2 linked regions of the Caenorhabditis elegans genome follow. The protein of the gene in region 1 purifies or fractionates together with the protein of each later gene. This does not show direct contact. Each region holds a gene or a part of one and is shown on either strand. Other genes may lie near its edges.

What was found.
Region 2: the proteins of hsp-12.2 (region 1) and gyf-1 fractionate together in Caenorhabditis elegans (co-fractionation; one large-scale study listed by BioGRID). This does not show direct contact.

The regions. Positions count from the first base shown.
Region 1 is NC_003281.10:8,136,029-8,139,784, reverse strand, and holds hsp-12.2 (Heat shock protein Hsp-12.2), read right to left. Parts: upstream 1,709-3,756; 5' UTR 1,665-1,708; coding exon 1,587-1,664; intron 957-1,586; coding exon 843-956; intron 436-842; coding exon 295-435; 3' UTR 154-294; downstream 1-153. Other genes in the region: C14B9.2 (putative protein disulfide-isomerase A4), read right to left, coding at 3,381-3,482.
Region 2 is NC_003280.10:6,682,223-6,685,978, reverse strand, and holds the start of gyf-1 (GYF domain-containing protein gyf-1), read right to left. Parts: upstream 1,742-3,756; 5' UTR 1,731-1,741; coding exon 1,675-1,730; intron 1,284-1,674; coding exon 1,178-1,283; intron 871-1,177; coding exon 667-870; intron 447-666; exon of another isoform or gene 298-446; intron 192-297; coding exon 23-191; intron 1-22. Other genes in the region: ift-74 (Intraflagellar transport protein 74 homolog), read right to left, coding at 3,033-3,098, 3,147-3,257, 3,309-3,586, 3,639-3,756.

The DNA.
Region 1 (3,756 bases):
AAATTTCGAGATTTATCATCAATTTTCGTGTAAAGTTCTATTATCATTTGTTTTTCTCACAGCCATCACCAATGGTCTAGTCTTGCATCTTGCCATTTTTCTAATTTGTATTTTTTTAAATGATTTTCTTTTTATAGCATTTTTCCATAAACACATAAAGTCGTACATTTATTGAAAGTATTGCAATATTTGATTAGTCAAAAAGAAATGTAAAGTATTTAAGTGAAGAATAATTTGATATTATTCAATTGAGAAAAATATTGTTTTTTTTGGTTGTAATCATGTTCTAGACATTTAAGCCTTCTTGGAAGCAGTGATGGTGAGAACTCCGCGGGTGGCGAGGTGGGATTTGACGGTGGAAACATCAACGTCATCTGGAAGTTTGTAGGCACGGTTGATTTCACGGGCAACGGTTCCATGGTTGTCACTGCGGGTCTGGAAAGTTGAGAGTTATACAATTAATCTTCTATTTATAAGAATTATCTATCTAGTTCAGCATATTTTTCTTTAAACAAATCTGTGCTGCTTAAGTTGAAAAAGAAGATACGGCATCACGAGCTACTGTAAATCATTCTGTAAATCATTGTCCGCGTGGCGAGACCCAAAATATGGTTCATATTGTTGTCTTTTAACTACTACGTCATATGTTCAGTGGAAATTTTTGAAGGACGATATTACTGTATTTAGTTTTATAATTTGATATTTTGGAACAAATATTCAATGCTACCATAGGTATCATTCTTTTGTTAGATTTTATATAATTCAGAAAATGGGTAAGTTTCAGTGAGTTGAAGTCGAAAAAGGAGCCTCCTAATTTTATAAATACCAATTATAACTCTTACCTCGTGACGGCAGTGGATGAGAAGCTCTTGTCCGGAAACCTTGACCTCGATTTCCTTTGGAGTGAAGAATTGAACGTCAAGTCCGACCTCGAACTTTTCCTTGGTGTTGTGGACCTGAAATTTAAGAATATTCAGTCAGAATTTACACGAGTTAACATTACGACTGTCAGAGTACTTTTCCACACTGTAAACTACTGTACTCTTCGTCTCTAGGCGAAGAGTACTGTATTTTACAGTGTGTCTATATGATTACAGAACATGCTGATTTTTCAAGTGTAATTTGAAACTATGCTTATATGAAAAACTCATAATCTATTCTAGTTATTCATTCCAGTATACAAATGCAATTTATCGAAAATCCAGATAGAAGCTATCAAAATAAATATAGTTTTCTTTAATTTTGATACAGCTTCTATTGCGATCATAGTAAGTTTTCTAAGGTATTTCTGAACATATTACAACATCTTTTCACTGTATTGATAAATTTGATGATTTACTATATATTTGTGAACTTATTAATATCAAAAATTACGTTTCCTATGAAGTAGTGTTAAGGTAGGGGTACTGTAGCGTCATTCGAAAATTGTTGTTTTATTTTTTCAAGAGTAGGTAGTCTAAGTTACTAAAGTGTCGTGGTTGGTTTATATTCCAAATTTAACCAAAAAGAAAAAATGAGCGTTTTTATTAAATTTTGGCTCATAAAAATTGCAGAGCCTTCTATTAAAGAGAAAAAATATCCCGAACCTTGACAACTCCGTCGTTGTGTTGAAGTGGCCAATCCCAGGTGGAAGCGGCGTCAGCGGTCACCTCGATAGCGGACATTTTCTCTAGAAAATTAAAAGTGTGAAAATATATTTATCGGGTGGATGAATAAAATGTGAATCGGAAGAAAATGTAATGTCAAAGAGCGAAAACATATGCGCAGGTTGGAGATGCACTCTAGGGTGGAGAACATTACAATGCACTATCGTAAAATGCTCTGTGAGCTTTGAAGCTTTTGCGAGTTGGAGAAGAAGCTCAGAAAGTGGAGAGTGAAAGGAATTGGACTGTAGGATAAGGGGGCGGAGGAAAAATGGATTTGAAGAAGAAAAAAGGTACGAGGAGAAGAAAAGAAACAATGATTGTTTATATTGACGGATAGGAGCTCCGAGCTCTGAGGATGCGCAAGAAGGGACGAGAGAAAGAAGGAGAGATATTTGTAAACTGTACTATTTGTAGGCTTCAAGAAATCTTCAATTTGGAAATAGAAATGTAGGGGAAGTTTTTGGTTTTTGATCTGATGATCATGAACTTTTGCATTTATTTTTCCAAACATATCCGGTTAATTTCAATTATCAATTTAACTGACCAATTTAATGACCAAAATTTATTGGTTAGTTTCAAGCTCCTCATGAGCTGAACGTTTTTGACAAAAATTGAACCATATGAATTTAGTTTTTAGACATTTTTGGAAAACTTCGCAGCTCACCAAAACCTACATTGAAACTTTTTCGAAAATCAAAAAATGATTGGAGGGGTTTATCATGATTTTTGGCAATTCTATTAATATAATTATAATCAGAAAACTCCCAACTGGCGCTTATCCGCCTCGAATTCAAAATTTTTGTTATTACCAGTACTTGGAATTAGTTTCCAAACTTGGTACATTTCAGAGGTCCTGGGTTTGTTTTAAGCTTACTTCAAAAATTTTTTAAAATAAACAATTGTTGAAAATAATTGGCATAGTCAGGTACGACATAGATGGTAAGTAGTTATTATCTTTCAGAAAATCAATACTTTTCAAATAGCCATTTAAATTTTAATAATTCTCTTGAAAATGTCAAGATCCAATGTGATTTTCGATCTGAAAAAACTGATTTTCGATCTGAAAAAAAAATGTTTCAAATTGAAATCAGCATTGTTCCTAATGTTCATTAATCACAATAAGCTTTCAGCCTGATTCTCTCTATTTACTTTGCTCATAGATCGGGTTGTAATATTATGCGTTTGTGAAGTTTTTCGGGATTCAATGCACAAAACTTTTGGAAAATTACCGTGTGTAATCAAGTTTGCAGTAAAATGTCTGAAAATCAAATTCGGATCTTTAGTCGGGTACTGCTTTTCCAATTATCCAAAAATTCAAATTGCCACGTGTCCTATTGATCTCGAGGTTTCCCCAGTGACTTCGCCCCCGTCAAACACTTTTAACAGTTCAAATAAACACAAGCACATTTCTATGCCAAGCTTTTCTTTCTCCCTCTCTCTCGGTCAAGTGGCTTCTTAGAAACTTCTCGAAAAGTGCTCGGAGCGTCGCTCAGCGATCAGTGTGTTTATTCATCCTCGTAAAATAGTTATTTCGAAACTAGTGACTGTCGTCGTCGTATACATTCAATTAATACACGTAACCGAAAATGAGAGAAAAGCAGAGGAATATGGGATTGGGGAGGGAAAAGTGACAAAAAAAGCATGATGAACAAGAACTAAAAATAAATACTCATAACAAAGAAACAAAGAGAAATTAGTTTAAATATCACAGAATTATTGCTCCTTCTGAATTGTTTACAACTCGTCCTTCTTCTGGAACGACTTCACACCGTGCTTGGTCATGAACTTCTTGAGATCTTCCAAATCACGATTTCCAGAATATTTGATTGGTTCACTCTGAAAATTAGTTTATTTAAAATGGGCCTATCAAGGATCCGAAGTCTCACTGCGATCATACCGTAACCTACCGTACTCCAAACGTTGGTTACGGTATAGGCGGGATATCATGAGATTGGAATTTATTATTACCGGCATGTGAAAAGTTTCAATTTTGCTCCAAAAATAAGGTACTCGGTCGGGGTGGTAAACGAACGATTTTCTTAAATGCAAAAAAGTTTGCCCATTTAAAGATTACTGTATTTGCCAAATACTCATATTTTCGGGATTTTTT
Region 2 (3,756 bases), on another chromosome or scaffold:
TACAAAAATTCGCAACACTTACTCCAAGATGATTTCGGAGCCCAGCGACTGGTTGGTGATTGTCCGTTTTGAAGTGCTCCGGAAGCGGCTCCATATCCACTTCCATAAGCAGCTCCAGCAGCAATTGAGGCTCGATCAGCGTGCGATAAAAGAGACATTGCTTTCGAAGAGTTTATGTTGTGTTGCAGTTTCTGAAAATGAAATATATAATTTTCATGAATAGGATTTGTTAGAAATTTTATTAGAGAATAACTACTCTACCACGGAACATAAACATGAAACGAAAAAACTAAGCATTTTCAACTTAAAAGTGTTTAACAAATAAACTTATTCGATAACACAAATTACTCCGATCATTAGGAAAGTGAAATGGTGGGATACGAACAGCAAAGAGCCTCATAAAGTCTCGCTATGCCTTCCTCCCTCCAAGGACACACTATACTTTTCTTGTTTAGACGAAAGAGTCAGTGAAACTGGATAAAATAGAAGTTCACATCAAATTCTAGAATACAATGTGCACACGAATAATAAAATATAGATCCTAAACATAGATCCTAAACAAATCTGTCAATTATCAAAAAAGTACCATGCAAAATTGGAAATCGTCAGACAATAGTGGGATAAATTTCATTATTTCTAATTCTAAAACTCTTGTGGTATCCCTACCTGTTCATGTTCACTGAGAGGCGTGTTCGAGACGAGCGGCAGGTTCTTCTCGTTGAAAAATAGCTGATCGCGCAACGCATCAGGCATAATCGATCCGGTTGGAGCCAGCTCGAGAAGACGTTCGCGCGTGTACGAGAATTCCGAAACCACTGGCGAAGAGAGGACCGCGGCGGCTGCAGCAGCGATTGCCGAAGAGGAGATTTCCTAATTGAACACATTTTCAGTTTTTTTTAAAAATAAGAGTTTTTTGTCATGGAGGGAGGGAGTCAGTGATAGCCCGACTTTGAGAGGTATATTCTAAAATCTAAATTCATAATTATTTAGTTTTTGATGTAATGTTGTGACAGACGATTATAATATTAAAACCGGGTACCACGGGGACCATGACCCAATAAACACAAAATTGTAAATAAATTATTTTCCTTTTTTTTCTAAATTTCTAGATTATGAGATGTGCTAAGAATATATTTGTGGAACGTGCTGGTTTTTTCCCGTAGATTCTGAAACTCACATCGCCGCCATCGTCAAATCCACCCCCACCAAATCCAGAGGAACGATTGTTTCCCGAAGAAATTGAGCCACCACGGTTAGCAGCATTTGGACGCATCCTGAAATGACTTTAACGCAATTTTAAGAAAGAACTTGTGGCTTGGATTTCTAATTGATTTTGCTAACTTTTATATTCTGGAATTCATATTATTCATTTTTTCAGCTGCAGTCAGCAAATTTGTGGTAAAAAAGGTACAAGTTTGAGAATTTGGGTTTTATTTTGGTTTTCGGCATTATTTATTTTATTTTTCTTTTAATATTGCTACAAACACGATCGAGTAGAGCCTTTTTAACAAAAAAATACGAGCGATAAACTTCTTAGTTGAAAAGAACGCATTTAAAAATCATTTGCTCTATGATTCAAAACTAGAGGTTAAAAATGAAAAATATCTTAGATTACTTGGAAAAAACTCCATTTAATTTTAAATAATAATTATTTTTTAAGATTCAAACACATACCAGCTTGGATTGAAATTTTGTTGAGCAGTTGGCTCGGCGGACGAAACTGACGACATTTTGAGTAGTTCTGTAAAACGAAATATAATTGAAACGCATACTTCAATATCCTTTTTTCAAAAATGAGATTAAAAAAAGACAAAAGGCTTATTCGAGAAGTTTCTATCATGATCAGATTGAAAATGTTTAGGATTCAACTTGTGTAACTCGTCAAAGGCCTAGTTTTGACCGCAGCGCAAAACCTCGGCCAACGAAAATTGCTTGTTCAAAGATGAGATACGCAGAGACGAATGTTACGTGGCAGAAGCCCGAGTAACTAATCTTATCAGGCATTTAAAAAACGAAAAGTTCAGATTACTATAAAAACTGTATTCTTAATTCTCATTTTAGCATGTATGCAAAGGGTAAAAGTTTATCGTGAGATATTGGTTCAATATCTAGCTGCCGGGCGGTGGTTGCGGACAATTTTCTCACCACACCCTGCGTCTATTTATTTCTCGAGACCACGCCACGAAACAAAGATTACTGAAATAAAGAGAAGCAGAGAAATGAGTTGCGTCGCGGTCGACCGCATCGCGCCTACTTTTTTCGGCCCCCCGAGCTACAACTTGGAAGAACAACAAAACGTTTCCACCTTTCTTTAGCCAGAAAATGTTGTGAATATATCGTTATCAAGCAAAAAAAAAGGCTATGTAAAATTAGGCATAATTTTTGAATTGATTTCTTGACTTTTCTTCGTATCCTTTGTAGCTTTTCGCGCAGATAGAACTTATTTTATTTGTTTGTTTAAGCTGTTGAATATATTCGTTATATTTAACAGTCAATCAATAAAGGTTCTCAAAATATAATCAAACGATATTTTAAATAGAATTACAATATTATTTGACTGCAAAAATGATGGAAATGTTATAATTGAAGAAAAATTGAGAAAACTCAATTTAAAACTAGCCTTACTTAAACGTTATCAATCAAAAAGATCGCCGAAAAGGGTAAAACGACGGAAACAAAAAAGGAACTACGGCGACCTTGCGGAAAGGGTGCTTCATACTTGATATATATCTTCTCCTCAAATTTCCAAAAATTCTAAAAACAAAAACACGATTAAAAATCGAGAAAATCAGGAAAGAAACAAAGAAATTCATCAGCAAGAAAATTGCGAAAATCGGGCGGGAAAATTTCAAGGTACGGTAGTCGTGACGAGACATGTTCAGATAAAGTTTGTCGTGTTCCTTAAAGCTACTGTAGGCAAAGATTTTTCAATTTTTTAATTAGTATTTTCCAATAATTTTTTTGCTGTTTCAGGAACAGTTCAGCATATTCAATGTAAATTTAATAAATAAATTTAGTGAAAAATTAATAAATCAGGTGAATCTTTGAAATGGATTGGTCAAAAGCATGTTATTGTATTCTTCCTGAAGTCGAATGCTCTGAAATTAAGTAAAATATTGTTAACTCGATTAGGAAAAAATCCACACCTCTGTTTTAATATCTTCGTAGTCAATTTCAGTCTTCCTCAAGCTCATGTCAAGTGATTTTGCAGCAGTACGTTTCTCAACAGCTTCCAGTCGTTCGCGAAGCATTTTGTGCTGGAATAAATTTATAATTGGTAAAACTAATATAGAACCATATCGACTCACTTGAGAGTATCCTGGAATTGAATGAAGTTCATTTCTTATACTTGCTACATTTGCTTCTAACTGTTGCATTTCATGTGAACGAGCTGGAGCTTCATCTTCAAGCCTTTTTTGACGTTCTTCAAGCTCTTGTCGGAGCCCATCTGAATCTACATTCTTCCCGACTCCCGCCAATTCCTGATCTATTTTTTTCTCCTCAGTTTCCAAATTATCAATTTCTTCATTTAACGCCAATTCCATATCCTCAATTGATATAAGCTCTTCTTGAAGTCGAACATGCACTGAAATAATATTTTTTAATGAGGGTTATTTTTAATCGCTCATCAAACCTACTTTCTTTAAGTTCATCCACATTTCCGGTCTGTAAAGTGAGACCTCGTTCATCTAAATCAGTTATCTGATCTTCTAGATTCACTTTCTTCAAATTGGCAGATATTTTTCTCAAAATCAG